2 linked regions of the Tamandua tetradactyla genome follow. The protein of the gene in region 2 interacts with the protein of the main gene of each other region in a pairwise test. Links are inferred from orthologs where the notes say so. Each region holds a gene or a part of one and is shown on either strand. Other genes may lie near its edges.

Region 1 (8,335 bases), on a different chromosome or scaffold from region 2:
TCCAGACAATTCTAGGGAAGGTGGATTTTATTCTAAAGACAATATCATAACGTATTTTTGTCTCTATGCATGTCGGTCATCTCGTTCTTTGTATTATGCCTCCTTGCCCTACCTTACCTCCCACTTTGCCATTAGTTTCTCTTCATTTCTATTCAAGTCTGTGCTTGGCTACCAGGAAATCTTTTTTTAAAAAATCACATTTACTTAAGTCGTGTACAACCCCCTATATTTTATTCCTTGCTATTCTTCAGACTGAAACTAAATATTTCAGTCCAGTATTCAAGTCTTTGCCATCTACCATCCAATAATACATCTCCATTTACCTCCCCCTTACTACAATAGCCTTTTAGTTAGCATCAGCTTCCTGTTATTCCCACCTCCTTCTTCTCTTTGCAGATTTTATTCATCCCAATCTCTGATTTTGCTCAAGTGGTTTCCTCTTTGAAATTTTTACCTCCCCAGATCAACTTTAAATACATCTTTAAGAACAGGCAACTTTGAATACACTGAAGGAAGAAGGGAGTCTTGCTTGACCAAGCTTCACACCCTGTTGATAAGCTTCTGACTTCCTAATCCTTTGGAATTCATTTTGAAACTTCATAACCATATACTTAATGTTAGGCCTTTTTTCTTCCTCCTGTACATTGATTATTCCTTCCTTGTGAGTGGAGACTTTGCCACTTAGATATTTTACTTTCTAATATAAGTACATTTACTCTCTTGTTTACTAAAGAGCCCAATAAATGTTTGTTGAATATGTTACATGCAAAGAATATCTCATAATACAACCTTCTTAATGACTGGCCAAGATTATTATATGAAAATATAATATATATTTTATATTATTCAAAAGCTAATTTTCTGTCTCTTGGAAGCTACATTGGGGGAAAACCAAGGTGGCAGTTTATGGCTAACATTTATTTAGGGATATGTTCATAAGATAATTAGAACTTTTTAAAGGTATTGGGATTCTTTCAATTGAATGACTTTTTTTTTTTGACCCATGGGCAGGCTCTGGGAATCAAACCAGGGTCCCTGGCACAGCAAGACAGAATTCTGCCACTGAGCCGCCAGTGCACAGCCCTCAATTGAATGACTTTTAAAGTTGAGCTTTCATTATAAGATGTGGGTAAAAACACAGAGAAATTTAGAATTTGAAGTAACTCCCAGGAAAACAATTTTGAGGGAATGCAACAGCCATTTAGTCAACACGTTTTTTGTAGCAGTCATCACAAAGCTAGTATCTTTTCATAAGTCATGTCATTCAATCTTTTCAACATTTCCTCACAGAGAGGTATTATTATTATGACCATTATATAGCCAATAGCACTGAGGCTCAAAAAGTTAAAGAATTCCTTGAGAAAGCCACATAACTAAGTGATGGATTCAGATTTGAATCCAGGTCAACTGACTCTAGAGCCAAATTACTTAAAGAGATTGTATAGACTATTGTTAGAATGGCAATACTTAGAAATAGGTTAAAAATAACTTGACAATTTTGGACAAGTAACTTAAACTTTCATGCCTTATTTTGTTATCTTAATGAGGAATTTGCCCTGGATAATCTCTAAAGCTTTTTTATGACTCTTTAAATCCTTGTGAAAAGTGATATCTATTTTCTTCTTTTTCAGTTCCCATTTAAAAATCTCCTTGCACATAGAGTCAGGAGAAAATGCTGTGCATATTAATGGGTAGTATATTTAATTACAGCCGGGAAATGTAATTAAAGGGGTAGATTTATATATCTCTGTAGTATTTGAGATGCTAAAAATAGTAATTACCTCTGCAATTTATAGCATTTTAATAGGGAATTGACTAAGTTAAAACAATCAGCCAATCTCTTCTTTATTAAATACTGATTACCAAAGTATATAGGTCTCAGAAATTTTATCTGCTGGGCTTCTTTTTTTTGTTTGGCCTAGCCATGAAATATTGTTCCTACCAGACCTTTTTGCATTCTCCTCTAGAGATATATGCATGTTAGAAGAGAGTGACATGATTGTAGAACCATTTCTAGAATCAAATCATGTGCTGAATACTTGCATTTACTCCCACTTACCTAAAAGTAAAAATAGTTAATGTCAAAGTGTATACAATAATTCAGAGGACATAAGACAATTAATAAATGTACTATGCTCTTATCATTTGATGTCAATAATTATAATTTTACTAGACCCTGAAGCTTCTTACTTCTTAATATGCTACATCAAAATAATAACATAAAACATGAAAGAAAAATCTAGGTAAACATCTATAAGAAGGTTGAATGTACTAATTATTGTTTGAATTACCCCTCTTAACCTAGGGAATCTAGTTAAACCAATTGGGTATTTTTGGATAACTTAGAAGTTGTTCGAACTCACAATCTGGAATGAATTGAATGTGATGAAATGTCAGCACATAGACTCATTCCACTCTGATCATGATTAGCTAAGCTCCCTTTTCCACCTCTTTGCCTTTGGAACCATTTGATCCTTGCAGAAAAGGAAGTTAGGCCAGTGCATTCTTCTAACTGAGTCATCTTCTCAAATATAAACAATCACACAACTAAGATCTATATCTTGTTTGACCTATCAGGTTTTGAGCACCTTGTCACAGAATGTGGTTAGAAGAAATGAAAACCTTTTATATCAAGCCATCAGTATGACAGACACCCCACGGCACAAACTGCCATTACATTCAAGGAAGATTTTTTGATGTGTTAATTTATGCCCTCAAGGTTCAGATCTGCCTTGTAGGACATCCTAATTAGAATTAGCTGTTGGTGAAAAGTGTATCCAAGAAGAGATAAAAATGAACCTCAATTTTCTTGAAAATATGACACAGGCCTAAGAAGAAGGCCTTCTAAAAAGAAGGCCTAAGAAATACCATGGTAGTGAGGAAATTATAGAATTAGGTTTTTTTTTCACTATCTTTTACAATGGACTAAGATAAAAATTCAGATACCTGTGGGGGTACTGAAAGTGAAAATTCTAATAAGCAGAGGCCAGAATGGGGGCCATGCTCTACATAAGTAGTTCCATTACATGTTCTTAGGAAGACCACAGCTCAGAAGTATGTCTCTGTAGCTTTAGGTTTTCACATACTAAGTAAATAATTTGAGACTATTGTGGAAGGGTTCCAAAAATGGATAATAAGCCATGAAAAAAATCCTCATAAAATTTAGAAATTGATTTAATAGTCTACCAAAAAAATTAAGTTTCCCTCAGAAGACGTGTGTTGGAATAACAATGAAGAAATGCATAAAGAGATGTTAAGCCTGCTGCAAATCATACTGAAGGAAAAGGTTATTGCAAAACCTTACAGAGCGTGATCAACAAACCAATTCACTTTTTGTTTACCGTAAGGTTTCTTACACTAACTGGAATCATATTGCTTTAAACTAAAGGGAAATTTTTAAAACCCGTTTTTCCAACTTTAGTTTATACGTAGCAATCTAAGCGTATGATATGAAAGAGTTAGCATTCAACAAAGATAGAGGGTCAGTCATACCTTAAATTCCTCCAAGATTTTGTAATTTTTCCCATGATATTCACAAAAGTTTTTCACTTCTTTGCATTCAGGACAGCATCCATTGTGTTCCACCTTAGTACATTTTGGGTGAATTTTAGGGCATTCTGGCTGATCGCACACGGGTCCATCCAGAGCACAGACACATGGACAGTTGGAATGCCCCGGGAAAAATCGTTCTCCCAACTTGTATACAAAGCCGCTGTCATCCACACACCCTTTCCCTCGATAATCATCAAAGATCAGATTGTCATTACTAGAGGTCTGGTCGCCTTCATCAGCAGGATAATCTTCATGATTGATGGCAGCAGAGGTGACCAGTCCCGGGATGATCAACAAAAGTATGCAGGCTTCATGAATATGAAGAGCCATCCCCTCCTCAAAGACTTCCAGATACGCTCCTAATATTAAATATACCCAGCTGCTTCCATGGGAATACAAGAGGGTAGGCTGAAAATAAATATTTAAAAAGAATAGTTTGACATATAAAAGAGAATTTAGGTTCAGTTAATCTGTTTGGGATCAATTTGGAGGATACTAAGACCTCTGAGAGACAAAGTGCATGCAATTATCTATACTTTATTATGCAGTTTGGAGAGTTGATCCTTGGCCATGCATGTATTAAAGTTTGTAAATGATGGTATATTTTATCTATGAAACTTCAGCTTGAATTTACCTTCTGAATTTCAAATATCTGGCTTTGTCTAAATAGAGATAAATGGTTTAACTGAACTTGAAAAGGTTATGACAACTTATAAATAGCCCAAGAATATTTGATATTTGAATTCACATTCTATATTTATCTTAAAACTGGACTAGTCAGTGATAGGATATATATATATGCATATAGATGTATATGTGTGTATATTTGTGTGTGTATATATATTACAATCTTCTGTATCAAAACCCATGAGAATAGCGAGAAGAATTCCAATTCTAAAAGAAAGGGAATAAAAATAACAGTTAAGTGTAAATTATGTTTGGGACACAGCTAGTACAAAGGCTTTCCTGCTTCCATATGCCCATAATTGGAGAACAATAGTCTCACTATGGGCTAACTTGTCTCATTAAATTTGGATCTGGATTTTGAAACATAGTTAAGAATAAGAACAGCATTACGATTCCACATTGAATAAGAGAAATGAAATTTAAAATTATAAATAATAAAATAGAGTTCCATATATTGAGAGGGATTAGTTAAAAATTTATTTGTATTGTCCACATTTTTATTTCACTCAGTAGGTAAGCTCCTAGTGGGCAGGAAAGATGTATCTATGAATCTTTTACAGTATTTTTGAATACAGTATTCATGTAATACTTTTGAATTAATTACTTCAATTAAATAAATACCATTTACACAGTCTTGAAAGCACAACTCTCTTTGGAAATGCCAAAAATGTTTGTATTTCTGCAATTTGCACTCTGAAATCCCAGCGTAATCTGGGCTTATGGAAGTTTCTGAAAACTATAATGAGGTGTTACCATTTAAAGTAAATATGCCTTATTAATGTGGTGGCATTAACTCTTGCAAACTTCACTTAACATTAGTGCTTGGTATAGAGTGTTTGTAGTAGGCTCTTATTTAAATGCTTAGAGTGACCAAGTTACACTAGGCCCTGGGAAAACCGCCTGTAGGGAGTTAACAGATAAGGAAAAGTGTTGGCAAACAGTTCATTTATCTATTTAAATGCTACTGGCTTAATGCCAATATTGCTAAGATTGTATATAGGACATTTTCAGATCATTTATAAATGTCATTCATTGGTTTATTTTCAGATTATTACAAGAACAATGATAAACCATCTCTTTTCCATCTAGCATACACAGATGGTACTTTTAATTAAGAGCAAGATAGCTTTAGGAAACTTTTATGAACTATTGTATCATATTGTGCATTTTAAGCTAGATATGCAAATTCTAGTAATAGTAAAATGGAAGGTAGTATAGTCACACTCTCCTTTCAGAGAAAACTGCTCCTTGATGTCAGAATTCCTTCTGGGTAGGTGATGATAAAGAAGATGGATTTCTTTTAAAATATGCCAAAAATAATGAGTCATGACAGAACAAGAATATGCAAACCTATAATCCTACTTGAGAAGCTGCAAGCTCCCTTTGACTACAGTGTGTTGTTTTCTCTTAAATTACTACAGAGGCCACAAACAAAACAGAAACCTCTGAAAAGAGATAAATATATTTTACAAATTAAAGTGTGTATTTTATACATTTCTCATGTATTTTGAAAGTTTATCTTGGAAGAAAAGGAAGCCACTGGGCTTCCAGATAATATTCTTGTAGTATTTGTCAATATGTGCAAGAAAAGCCACATAAAATACACATATCATTCTGCTGCTAAAGGACACACTCAGAAAATGATCTCTTTGCAAGCCACAGGTAGGCATTAATGTGTCAGGTTATGGTAAATTCAAACTTAAAAAATTAAAATATGGTGTAGACCCACTTTAGATAAACATTAAACATGATTTATTATATGAAATGCATTTAAAAATCTGTATGAGTGAAACGAGTTTTTTTAATATAACAAAGTTCCAAGGAAATTAAAAAAAATAACCCTATTCATAACTGAGCTGCTATAGTGCAATTTATTATATTATTTATTAAGAGAAGAAGCATTAAAGAAATCTAATGAAATGTTTATCTGAAGATTTTAATAACTAAGCAAACATTGCTAAACTGAGGTTCACTTCCCAGTTATACTTCCCCCCTCCCTATATTGCTACATATGATTTAAAATGACTGCATCTATTTATTTGGAAAAAAAAAAAGCATAACTTATGCCATAAGATACACTTACCTAATCACTCTGGAGGTTAATGGTAGTGGTGGGGGTCACAGATCAATATGAACCCAAAGGTCAGTTATGTTTTAGGAAAGCAGTTCCTCTTTAATAACCCAAAGAATACATTTTCAGGGATGAATTATAGGCAATCCATTCTGTCTACCTCCCATTTCAAAATACAGTCAAGAAGCAGTCTCCCGCCCTTCCAGAGAGAAACACAGCAGACACACATAAGAAATAAGCTTTGGACGTGTCTTCAGAATTCAAAGCAAGAAGCAATGCTGTTTCTGCAGAAATCCAGACCTCAGTAGGAGAATCATGTTGAACTTATTTTTAGCATTTTCCCAGATCCTTCTATGAAATTTCCTGGTTTATTACGCCTCCTCCACACATGAGTTCACTTACACAGTGTTTGCTACGGCAGTAGAGGTGATTTGGCTAGGCTCTCAGGATCACAAACAGCAACAATATACTGTAGCTTAAAGTCCGCTCCGCTGGCAACACAATCAGCATCATCCACAATATGTTGCTTGACTCCCCTCTTAAACACCAGGAAATGTTAACTGTGGACGTGAAGGAAAGGAGCAACTTTAGCTGGATTTCTGCATCAATGAGAGCAGTTTGCGACTGCTGATTTGGAGCTCATTCTGCCGGCAGCCGGGAATTCCTCAGCACCACGGATAGCGCCAACAACTGGCTTCTAAACCCAGCTCGGTCGAAATCCCCTAGCTGCTTCTCTAGCCAAGGCAAGAGCGTTCTCTTAAGCAGCAGCACTTTCTCTATACAACGGACGTGCATTAGGAAGCGGGAAGGCATGCTACGTGTGAGATACTATTTGCATTCAAATTACAACTCCCCCCCCCCCCCAAAATCACTGCAATTATACTAAATGCATTCTTGGATGGGCTGCAGAGATGAAAGTTCCGGAAGAGGCTTGCGTTTAGATTCAAGCCATCTGCAGTCTCCGATTATTATTAATAGATATGGCATAATCATTGTCAAAGAATCTGTAAAAATGAACGCACGACGATTGTATTTGACCACTTGGTTGCAGAAGGACTTTCCCAGTGCTACACGATTAAACTTCAGATCTTTCTGCAGCTAGGATTTAATTAAAAGAAGAAGAAGAAAAAGTAGCCGGGTTCTCCTGCAGTTTGTTTTCTAGCATTAAATCCAAGCTCTTGTAATTCATCTAGTCTGTCATTAGGCGTCATTGTAAAGCTGTTTCTACCAAACCCTTAGGAAATATCTTTCTCTAAATTCTTATCAAAATGATAGAAAAAAGACAGACACAAATGAATATGCAGAAAGTTTTTTTTTAATTGGTAACAGTACGAGCTCAAAAACATATAACCCAAGACTGTTTTAATGTAAATACGTAAGTTGTAAATTTTACCTGCTGACATATTCAACCAACCACTTACTGGTTTGGGACTACGCTAGACATTTTCAAGGGAATGCCTTCCGCAGTGGGATATGCTGGCCATCAAGACCACGTTCGAACGGTGCCGTCAGAGCCTCCGGAAAACAGACTCTCCCCGTCAGGAGAAAACACCACCGTGTGTGCTTCGCCCTCGTGGCCCAACAATTTGTGAATCTGCCCTGATTTAAGATCTAGCAAATGGATAATCCCATTGCCGCTCGCCTGAGCTAAAACTCGACCTGAGAGAGAGAGAGAGAGATCAAAGTTTTATTTTAGTCACAGTTTGCAATAGAACATTCTGTTTTGTTTCAAGTGTGATTCAACATTCATTTTATGTTAGATGACAATTATTAAATATGAACTAACTTGTCTCCATAGGAAATAATCTGTCAAAATTAACTCAATTACATAATTTTAGAATGAGTAAGTGAAACCTAATGTTCTACCTGCTTTTCATGCAAAGGTCATTAAGTGCCTGCCATTCTCCTTACATCTGTAATTAATAAAACATTTTGAGAATATGAGACTTAAAGAAACTGAGCAAAACGGCTTTCTTTTTCAAATGATTATATGTTAAAAAGTTTTTTTAAAAACATTTTATATCT
Region 2 (9,059 bases):
TACTTTCAGAATCTTCTCTCTTCCTCCCACTCTCCTAAAAAGTGCTTTCGATAACGAAGGCACCCGGCTATCCAAGTAATCTAAGCCTTTTCCTTTAACTTTGTCCCCTTTTCCTGGAGGGACCCAGCGCTAGGGGGAGTCTGAGAGGAACGGCCCAGGCTGTAAGACCGCCCCCACTCAGACCATCCTCCGCCTCCCCGAGATCCGCCGCCAGCCTGCCCTCACCCACCAGCACCGGCTCCCCAACTACGACTTTAGAATCCTGGGTGCACGCACCTGGACTCTGGACTCGGGCAGGTTAATTTTGAGCGCCACTTCCTCCCGCATGAAGATGTCCGGGTAGCGAGTCTTGGCGAACAGCGCCTCGAGCACGTCCAGCTGCGAGCGCGTGAAAGTGGTGCGCTCTCGCCGCTGCTTCCGCGGGGTGGCTGTGGGGACACGCGGGGGGCTCCTTGGGTCAGTAGAGGCCACGCGGACCGGGGCAAGAAGACGCGGGCAGGCAGGCCCCTGGCAGGCCCTGCGCCGGGCCATCGGCAAGGGAAAACCAAGCTCCTAGTAAAGAAACTTCCCAGTCCTAGAAAAGAAACTCACCTAGCCTGAGAGGCCACAGGTGGGAAAAAGTGTGTGTGTGTGTGCATCCCCAAGGCTCCGGGCCTGCCCGCATCCCTGCGTCCGAGAGGTTAAAATAGGTAGGGTAGTTCCCTTCCTCCATGTCCCCTCCAGCCCGCCGCCCCCCCCCCCCCCCTCGCCCCGGCCTGGTGTTGGAGAGGTGTGTCGAAACACCACCGGGAAAACACATTCTGAGGGAATAAATGGGGGTAAAGGAGGAGCCGGAAAAGAAACCCAGGGTTCGGCTCAAGCCTTCCCTTCAGCGGTTTTGGTGCAGGCCGCTGGTCCTGGGCACAATTTCATTAGGGAAGGAGAACTCGCCTACCTCAGCCCAGCCCAGCCCGTCGCGTTGATTAGGAAAATTCGGCCTTAGGGCCAAGCGCTTTTCGTTAGGGCTTAGCAAGTGTCTAGATTCCTCATTCAACGTTGGGGGAAAAGGAATAAATCCACACACACAAAAAAATAGCCACCCGTGGGAAACGAATTCGCGGGTAAATGCGCTCTGCCCTGGCAGTGAGAGCATAATAGGAGACAGGTTGCTCTTGTGGCCGGGCCGGGAAGGTGCTCATCACAAGTTCTCGCCGCCCTGACCCACCTCACCCACCCGCGACGCTGCTGCGGCAGGCGGCCAGCAGTGGGTTCTGTGTTGTGAACAACTAGGTAACTAGCTTCTTGGGCCTTCTCGGCAATAAAAGCATGCGCTCAGAGCCGGTAACCTGGGTGTTCCCAACGTTTGCAGGGGCAGGGGCCCGGGAGGGCGGGTGCTCACCCGGATAACCCACGGAGGGGTGCAGCAGGTCCATGGCCGGCCCCGCCAGGCCCAGCCCGTTCATGCCATATGGGGGTTGTTTGAGGTAAGACATCATGCTAACAGCCGGGTGGAGGCGCCCCGACGGATCCAGGGGGCCGCGGGCCGGGCACGGTGCGGGACTCCCACCGCTCAGTCCTTTGAACTCTGTTGCGTCTGGGGACCGGGCCTGTGAAGATACGAGACACAGGGAAACCGTAATTCAGAGCCACCCCAGCTCCCAAGTCTTGCCCGAGACAAAGATCTGGTTGGAAAGGGGGAGCAAGATGAAGCCCTGGGCAGAGGCATCAATTCTGATCCACAAGGCCCTAAGTCCAGAGACCATAGCCTTGAAAAACGTTTCTGGATGTCGTTGCCTCTGTTCGGAGTTGAAATTGGCCAAAGACTCTGGCAGGACGGCAGGGGGGATTGAGAATTGATGAAAAACCCGGTCAGGCTAAGGGCGACAGCAGGGCCGAAATCGTCCGGAGTGCAAGGTTCTAAAATTTTGAGTCCGGCGGGAGCCGATCTCAGGCTGCACCACCAAACACTCACTCGGCGCCCTGGCCGGCCTCAGGCTGCCAAAGCTATGAGGGGTTGTTTCGTTTTGTTTCAATTGCTTTTGAAAGTGAGATAAAAAGTAAAGATTCCAGAGGGCCAAAGCAAGGCACTGCGAGGACTGGCCGCACGTCGGCCTCTGTGGGACGCGTTGCTCACTCGGGGGCCTGCTCTCCCTCAAGGTTTCCGTGGCTGGGGCCGAGCCCCAGCGTCCGCAGCCAACCCTACAGCTAACCTCTCTGCTCCCAGTCACTGAAAGGCTGTGCCGGAATCTCACCACAGCTCAACCGCAGTTATCCACCTAGGCCCAGCAAAGGCGGTCAAAGGAGGCAGAAGGGGTCACGGTAGAGGTGGCAGTTCCAAGATGAGGCCCGTAGTTCGGGGAACCTCAGCCGGGGCTGTGGGCCTCTATTGGGCGGCGCAGTCTGCGCTTTCTTTCTGCCGGGTCCTGTATAGGGACAATGGGGTCCCGGCCAGGTCTGAAGGCTGATCGAATCCAAAGGGTCTCCGGGATTTGGGAGGCTGGGTTGAGGCAAGCGCCGTGCGCTGCCTGCCTATCCCTACTCCCTGAACCCGCGATCCCGGACCCGACCGAGAACTAGGCCTCAGCGGCGTGGCCCGCGCTGATCCCGGCCAGAAGGTCAAAGCTGCGCTTCCCTAACTGCTCCGAACCCTAGGCGCTATACTCGGGGGTCAGGAAGAGATTCTGGTAAGTTGGATTGGAGCCCAGGAGGCCTTGTCGCTCCACCCCGTTTGGCGGGAACTTTTCTTAAAGCAGGCCTCGGGACCTGGGTTAGGGAGTACCGCAGGAGAAGTTTGAACTGAAGACGCACTACCTCCCCCCATACCCCACCCGGGTCCGCCGGGACCCTCAGCCTGGACTGAGAGAGCCCTGTTCGCCGGGAAGGGGAGGAAGAAGAGGGCAACAGCCGGTACTCTTGGACCAAAGGAGAACCAGATTCAAGCGCGGAGGGTCTGCTAGGCTGCTGCCTTGAGTTTTCAAAGACTTCCTCCAAACTTCGGCTCGGCGACTTCGGAGGAGGCGGGGGAGGGGGCAGAGCGTCGTAGCACCGCTTTGGGGCCCTCCGCACACCTAGAGAGGCTCCAGGCCGCTCCCCCGGCCCCGCCCCATTGCCCAGGACTGGGGGAAGCGGGTACCGCGTAGAGGAGGGGGAAAACAGAGCAATCAATGCGCTCCCGGAGTTCCGCGCGACCCCGCGTCTTTCTCCTTACCTGTTCTCTGCCGCTTCGGCCTCTCACCATCTACACTTCACGCCCTTACAGAGACCCGCCCGGCCGCCAACCTGCAAAACAGAGCCGCACAGGAATTACGCATCGGGCCAGGCGGCTGGTCTTGGACCCCGGGATTTCTTTCTTTCCCCAACTTCCCTCCTCCCATTTCTTTCTTCTTACCCAATGGCTTTTGTGCGTGTTCCTCCAGGTTTCACTTTAATGCACACTTTGTTTGCAAAGCCCTACACGCTCCCGGGACATTGCCTCGCCCAAGACCGCGCCGAGCAGCCGCGAGTGGGGAGGGTGGAGGGTACGGGGGATAGAGTTGGAAGGAGGTTCGCCTTTACAGCTGCACTCTCGGGGCAGCAGGGAGACAGCAGGGCCTGGAGAAGTCCTGCAGAGGCACTTTTCAAACTAAGTAAATCAAGCAATTTACCTGGTCGGAGTAGCTTGTCTTGCTTGGTTGTTTAGGTGATTGGAAATGTAGCTTGATGAAGATTGATCACCTTTCTACTGCCCTCCCCGGGTAAGTGAATGCGAGCCGAGTGCGTAACGGGGCTAGGCCGCCAATCCAGGGCCCCGCGCGGGCTGAGTGACAGGGAGCCGGGCAATGGCAGCTCGAGCCGGGGGTTACCTCTGCGCGCCCCCGCCCTCCCCCGCCCCTTGCACCCCGCCCTCCCCCGCCCTCCCTCCACCCCCGCCCCGGTCGCGCGCTAACTCTGGGGCTCGGTTTGCAAATACCAAACAGATCGAGACGAGGAAGGCGAGAGCAGCGACCAAGCCCAGGCCATTGAGGGGGCGCCCGTCCCGGGGCCTGTCCAGGGGCCCCCACTCCTCTCCCGCCCTCTTGGCGCTCCGAAGGGAGTGGCAGAGGGAGGCGAGGTGCTGGAGAACCGGTTTCTTAGCTCTCCCTTGAGCCCACCCGGCTCGGCGACCGGGTGTGGCCGCGAGGACTCTGGGGCCGGGGGCTTGAGGAGCGGGGCCCCCAGCTTCTCTTGCGGCGCCGCGGACCTCAGCGCCTGCTACCTCTGCGCAGCCACCTGCAGACCGACCCCGGGGGCGGATTGTGCTGGCGCGGGCAACTCTGCGGAGCGCGAGAGCAGCTCCGGGCGCGCAGATCCCTCCTCCGCACCTCAGTACTTTCGCGCCCGGGAAGAGCACCCACAAGGGAGGCATCCCCACTTACCTGCTCCTCGGAGTCTCTTGGGGTTTCCGGTCCCCACGAAGAGTGCTTTAAAATCTTAAACGCTTTTTCGGAGACGTTCGAGTCCAACGTTCCCCCTCTCCACTTCCCCTCCCTCCTTTCCCCGCACACACACTTTACTTCTGAATGGAGAGATTTTGATAGGAAACTTTCTCTTTCCCACTGTCTATTTCTCTCCCTCCTCGTTTCCATTACCAGGGACAGTCTGTTGGAAAATGAGACCCCCTGCCCTCAATTTCTTTTCCACGTGCCGCGGAGTGAGCCTCCTTGAGGCGATTTCACCGGATTGCTCATATTGGCGAAGTCCATTTCCCAGCCGAACAAACTTCTCAAACTCGTCCACCTGAGTGGACTTTTCAAAGCGCCACAAAAGTGCTTTCGCCCCTACTCCTGAGCAAGGTAATTCTTTTAAATGGCACCTCCTCCTATATTATTACTCACGGATTTACTCCCTTTCGAGGAATTCTTACCCTTTTTTCCTAACCCACCCTCCCCTAACAGGCGTAGTGAAAAGTTTGAACAGGAAGGAGAGTAGGTATGCGGGCAAGTCATGGAACCACAAGGTGCATCGCCGTGGCCAGCGCCCGCACGGCCCGGGCCGCTGGGTCCCGCCTCGCAAGCCGACCGGGCTCTGGGCGAGGAGGAGGAGGAAGGGGGAGCTCGCTGAGTGAAAAGGGGCCGCCGCAGCAGCTCATCAAAGTGTTTCCCCCTCCCCCAAGCGACACTTTCCTTTGGAGTCCGAATAAAATACGGTAACAGAATATGATGGAGGGCACACTGTTTCCTTAACTGCTTCTCAAAGGGCCCGGGAGATCTTCTTAGGACCTTTAATAAGGCTTTGGTCGGTTCTTTTGTTGATCTCTCAAAATCAACTCCTTCTAATTGAAGTTGGAGCTGAAAGCGAGCTAATGTTCAAAGAAAGTGGCCGCCAGACCAACGAAATTACATTTTTTTTTTGACGATGAGGGAACATCTAATCAAAGGGGCATGGAAGGAGGGGTGGGAGTGAGGGAGTACGAAGGAGAAAAGGAGGTTTTACAAGATCCTTCTGTGGTTCACAAAAGTCAGCGACACGGGCGCTTCTCTACAGAACAAAGACACCGCGGCTCATTCACAAAAGGGAAAGAGAGAGAGAAAGCAGAATAAAAGAACGAGAGGAAAGGAAAAACATGGGGGGTGGGGTGGGGTGGAAAAAGCTGTAAAAGGAAAAGAAGCTGCGCAGAGCGCGGCGCTGGCCCCGGGGCGGACACACCTCAGGCTCGCCCAAGGCCCCCGTCGAGAGTAGCCCGCGTTTCGGAGCCACGGAGATGGTGCTGAGGTTTAAAGAAAGAAACAAAATACACTCCCCTCCCCCAGGCCCAGGAAAAGACGCCTGCTGGAGGTGGACAAGTTTGGTGGGAGGATGTGTGCGGGACTCCTGGCGTACGCTCCGGCAGCGTCCGCGACCGTAGCCCTGCCCTACCCGGGCCTGTGCGCTCTGTGCTTGGGTTTGGACCTCCCGCTCCGGGGTGCGTGTTCTTGCCCTAGCCCCGCAACTTCGCCTCCTGCCTCCTTTCGGCGCGGTTTTGCCTGCAGCCGTAGCACCGGCCCGGGGATCTGCGCAGCTAAATCGGGCAGCGGTGCGTTCTGGAATGTGCCGGCGCGGTCCCCAGGGCCCGCCGCGCGGGAGTATGGCGCTCACAGCTCCAGATGCTGCCACCGGTCTGGGGGAAGTCGGGAGGTATCAAGTAGCAGGGATTCCCCCCCCCCCCATGAGAGTATTTATCTAATCCCAAATTGCAGGCGAATTTTCTTAATGCTCAGCCCATAAAATCCCGGGATTAAGAGAAGAAAAAAGGGAGGAGAGGGAGGAAAGTAGAGAGGGAGAGACTGAAATGAAAGTTTCCTGTACGAGGCGCAGAGGATTGAGGCGATCGTCGCTAGGCAAACGTCCAGGTGGGAGACGCTGGGCCAGAAGCCACGACTATTTCAGCTACGGCCGCAGCGCGGGGAGGGGAAAAGAGGTCAGCGCTTCGGGAGGAAAAGCGAACCCAGCTCAAGGTCCCCAGGCCGTAGAGAGGGAGAGGGAGTTGGGACCCGGGACCCGGAACCCGCAGCTAAGTAACCTCGAGGCCCGGCCAGATTCTGGAGGACACCGGACAAGGGGAAGGGTTTGGCTTCCGGGCCTAGGGATCCTGGCCAGGGACAGAAGTTCCATAAGGGCCAGCCGGCTGTGCTCAAATCAGCCTGCCGCTAACGCTCCTCCTCCCCAGCGACTCCCGGGCCGTCAGCCTCTCCTCCCGCAGTACGGGCTTTCAAGTTCCCCGGCCCTGGGCGTCCCGGGCCGGCGCCCACGCCCGGCAGAGCGTTCTTGGGCCAGCCGGGCGAAGCCCGAACGCGGCGCCCTCGCCTCGGGCCTGACCCGGCCGGTCCCCGGGGTCTGCACTCCAGCGCCGCCGGTGGGAGTGCAGGCGCCACGGAGCCAAATGGAAGCTCCGCGAGGCTCAAGACTGAGGCAGGTGGGGCGGGAAGCGGGTCGGCGCTGCCATTCCCGACCGCCCTGGCAAATCCGGTGCGAGGACAGGTTTGCACTTCTCAGCTCAGTAGCCCTTCGGGAGGGAAAGTTTCCCCAGTCCTTCGTGAACCGAGGGGGTGACGCTGGCCGCCCAAGCCCCAGGCTGTTCGGGACGGGCGATCTACATCTGCTGGCTTTCCCCGAGTTCTGAGAGCTACCCCCGGAAAAGCCGCGGCTCACTCTGCTCTTCCGTTCGAATAAAAAGGGCAAATACCTGATTTCACTTGGTTCTGATAACTTTTCAATAACTTTTCTTAAAATCCTTGTCATGAAGAAATTCTACCGTAGCAAGTTTTAATTGGCTTTTTGAAAGGCAGCTGGAGTCGGCTACATGCTTTTTCGAACAGAGTTTATGTGTGTACGTGTATGTATATGTGTATATATGGGTGTGTACAAATATATACGTATTTATAAAATCTAGACTAAAATATAAATTCTATTGAAGTGTTTCCTCTGAGTCTCCAGACTTGTTGAACGAGCTTGCTTTGTTTGGGACCCTTCTGTAGCAGAATGACTGAATGGAAATTACCATAAAATCGTCAATTTTTTTTCTGTAACCTGAACTTTTTGTTAAAAGTTCTCTTTCCCTCATCACACACACACCTGCCCACATTATCCACCCACCTCCTTCCCCAACGATAACCCCCTTCCTTTCATTTAAGTTCTTACAGACTGTGGGATATCAAAGACATAGTTCTCCTTAAGAGTGCAAAACTTAACAATGAAAATAAGTAATAATGTGGAAAATACATCAAGATTTTATCATTTTCAGTGAGGTGGAATCACAAATTTCCTCAAATCTTTAACAAAAGAGATGACCCTTTGCCTGGATGATAGTTTATACTGCTAAGAACATATGACTAATTGCTCTTCAATTCACATTCATGTGTCAGCAGGGCCCCTTTGGGATGTTATAAACTTATTCAGCTCCAAATACAGCCGTGCCCTGTCCTGCATTTCAGAGGACCATTTTTCCACATGTAGAGTCTTATGGATACACAAATTCCACTTAGCCAAAGTGTCAAGTTTTCATTGCAAGAAAGCAGCAGCGGTGTTTAAGGTAAGAAAGTTTCTGCTTTTATTGAAAATTTATATGACTCAGTATTGTAATAAATAAACAGATAACCATTTTCACAAAAAAATGACAGTGCTATGTTAGAGAAGAAAATATTAATTGGAGGGATTTACTCAGTGGCAAGACAGATTTCTATCAACACAGAATAAATATTAACAGCATTCTTCAACCAACAAATGGAGGAGCCCAGCTAGATGTAATAAATAATTATCCAGAGAAAAAGATGGTGCATTCTCAGATGATAAGCCTGTCTTTTGTAAAAGGATGCATGTCAATTAGTTCCATCCTCATGCCTCACCTTCAAATCACAGGGCTTGTTTCAGGCTATGTTAAAAGATCATCCTCTATGAAAAGCAGAGGAGAAGAACTCTGTTATCCTATGGTAAATGCAAAACAACTGCAGAAAACCCCTATGGTAAATAGAACACAGTTTAATAAGTGGATTGAGTATGATCTAACTATAAAATTTAGGTAGCAGAGTAAATGTTACATATGGCAGGACTGGAAAAAATATTCATGACATTTTCCTTACCCCTCTCTCTGAACCCCCCCCATCATTATGCTATTAACAACAACAACAACCACAATAAAATTTTTCAAATTTTCCTACCATGAAAAAAATGAAAGAATACGGGGAGCATATTTTTTTTTGGAACAACTTGTACACCCCAATATGAAGTACTCACAAGGTGTCTGTGCAAATCTATTTCACGTGATTTTAAAGAACAAACAAATAAATCTATTTTGTAGTTCTGTATATTATCTGGAAAGGTAGGAGAGGAAAAGGGGTGTTGGCGGTAAAGTACAATCCAGCCTATAAATCAACAATGAGTCTGACTTTCTCTGGTTTGGGGATCCAGGATTCTAAAATGTTGGGCGAGATTCTGGCCCGGTCGCTACTGAAGAACACATTTTTCTTCTTTCTTGGCCATCTTGCCTTTGTTTTGCTCCAGAGTTCGCTCCAAATGCTCGTCTTCTTCTTCGGCCCTGGAAGTCAAACAGAAAATAAAATTATTTTCCTGCGTTGAGGGCAAAGCGC

The links.
Region 1: the proteins of OTX1 (region 2) and VWC2L interact in binary tests that used the Homo sapiens proteins (3 or more experiments, as listed by UniProt). The two-hybrid records come from large-scale screens. The link is inferred for Tamandua tetradactyla from reciprocal best matches to the Homo sapiens genes OTX1 and VWC2L.

Annotation. Positions count from the first base shown.
Region 1 is NC_135329.1:189,732,341-189,740,675, reverse strand, and holds the start of VWC2L (von Willebrand factor C domain-containing protein 2-like), read right to left. Parts: upstream 3,883-8,335; coding exon 3,493-3,882; intron 1-3,492. Other genes in the region: SPAG16 (sperm-associated antigen 16 protein), read right to left, coding at 7,794-7,969.
Region 2 is NC_135343.1:35,957,913-35,966,971, reverse strand, and holds the start of OTX1 (homeobox protein OTX1), read right to left. Parts: upstream 3,712-9,059; 5' UTR 3,624-3,711; intron 3,259-3,623; 5' UTR 3,218-3,258; coding exon 3,188-3,217; intron 1,587-3,187; coding exon 1,379-1,586; intron 429-1,378; coding exon 277-428; intron 1-276. Other genes in the region: EHBP1 (EH domain-binding protein 1), read right to left, coding at 8,917-9,007. UniProt on the Homo sapiens protein: Probably plays a role in the development of the brain and the sense organs. Can bind to the BCD target sequence (BTS): 5'-TCTAATCCC-3'.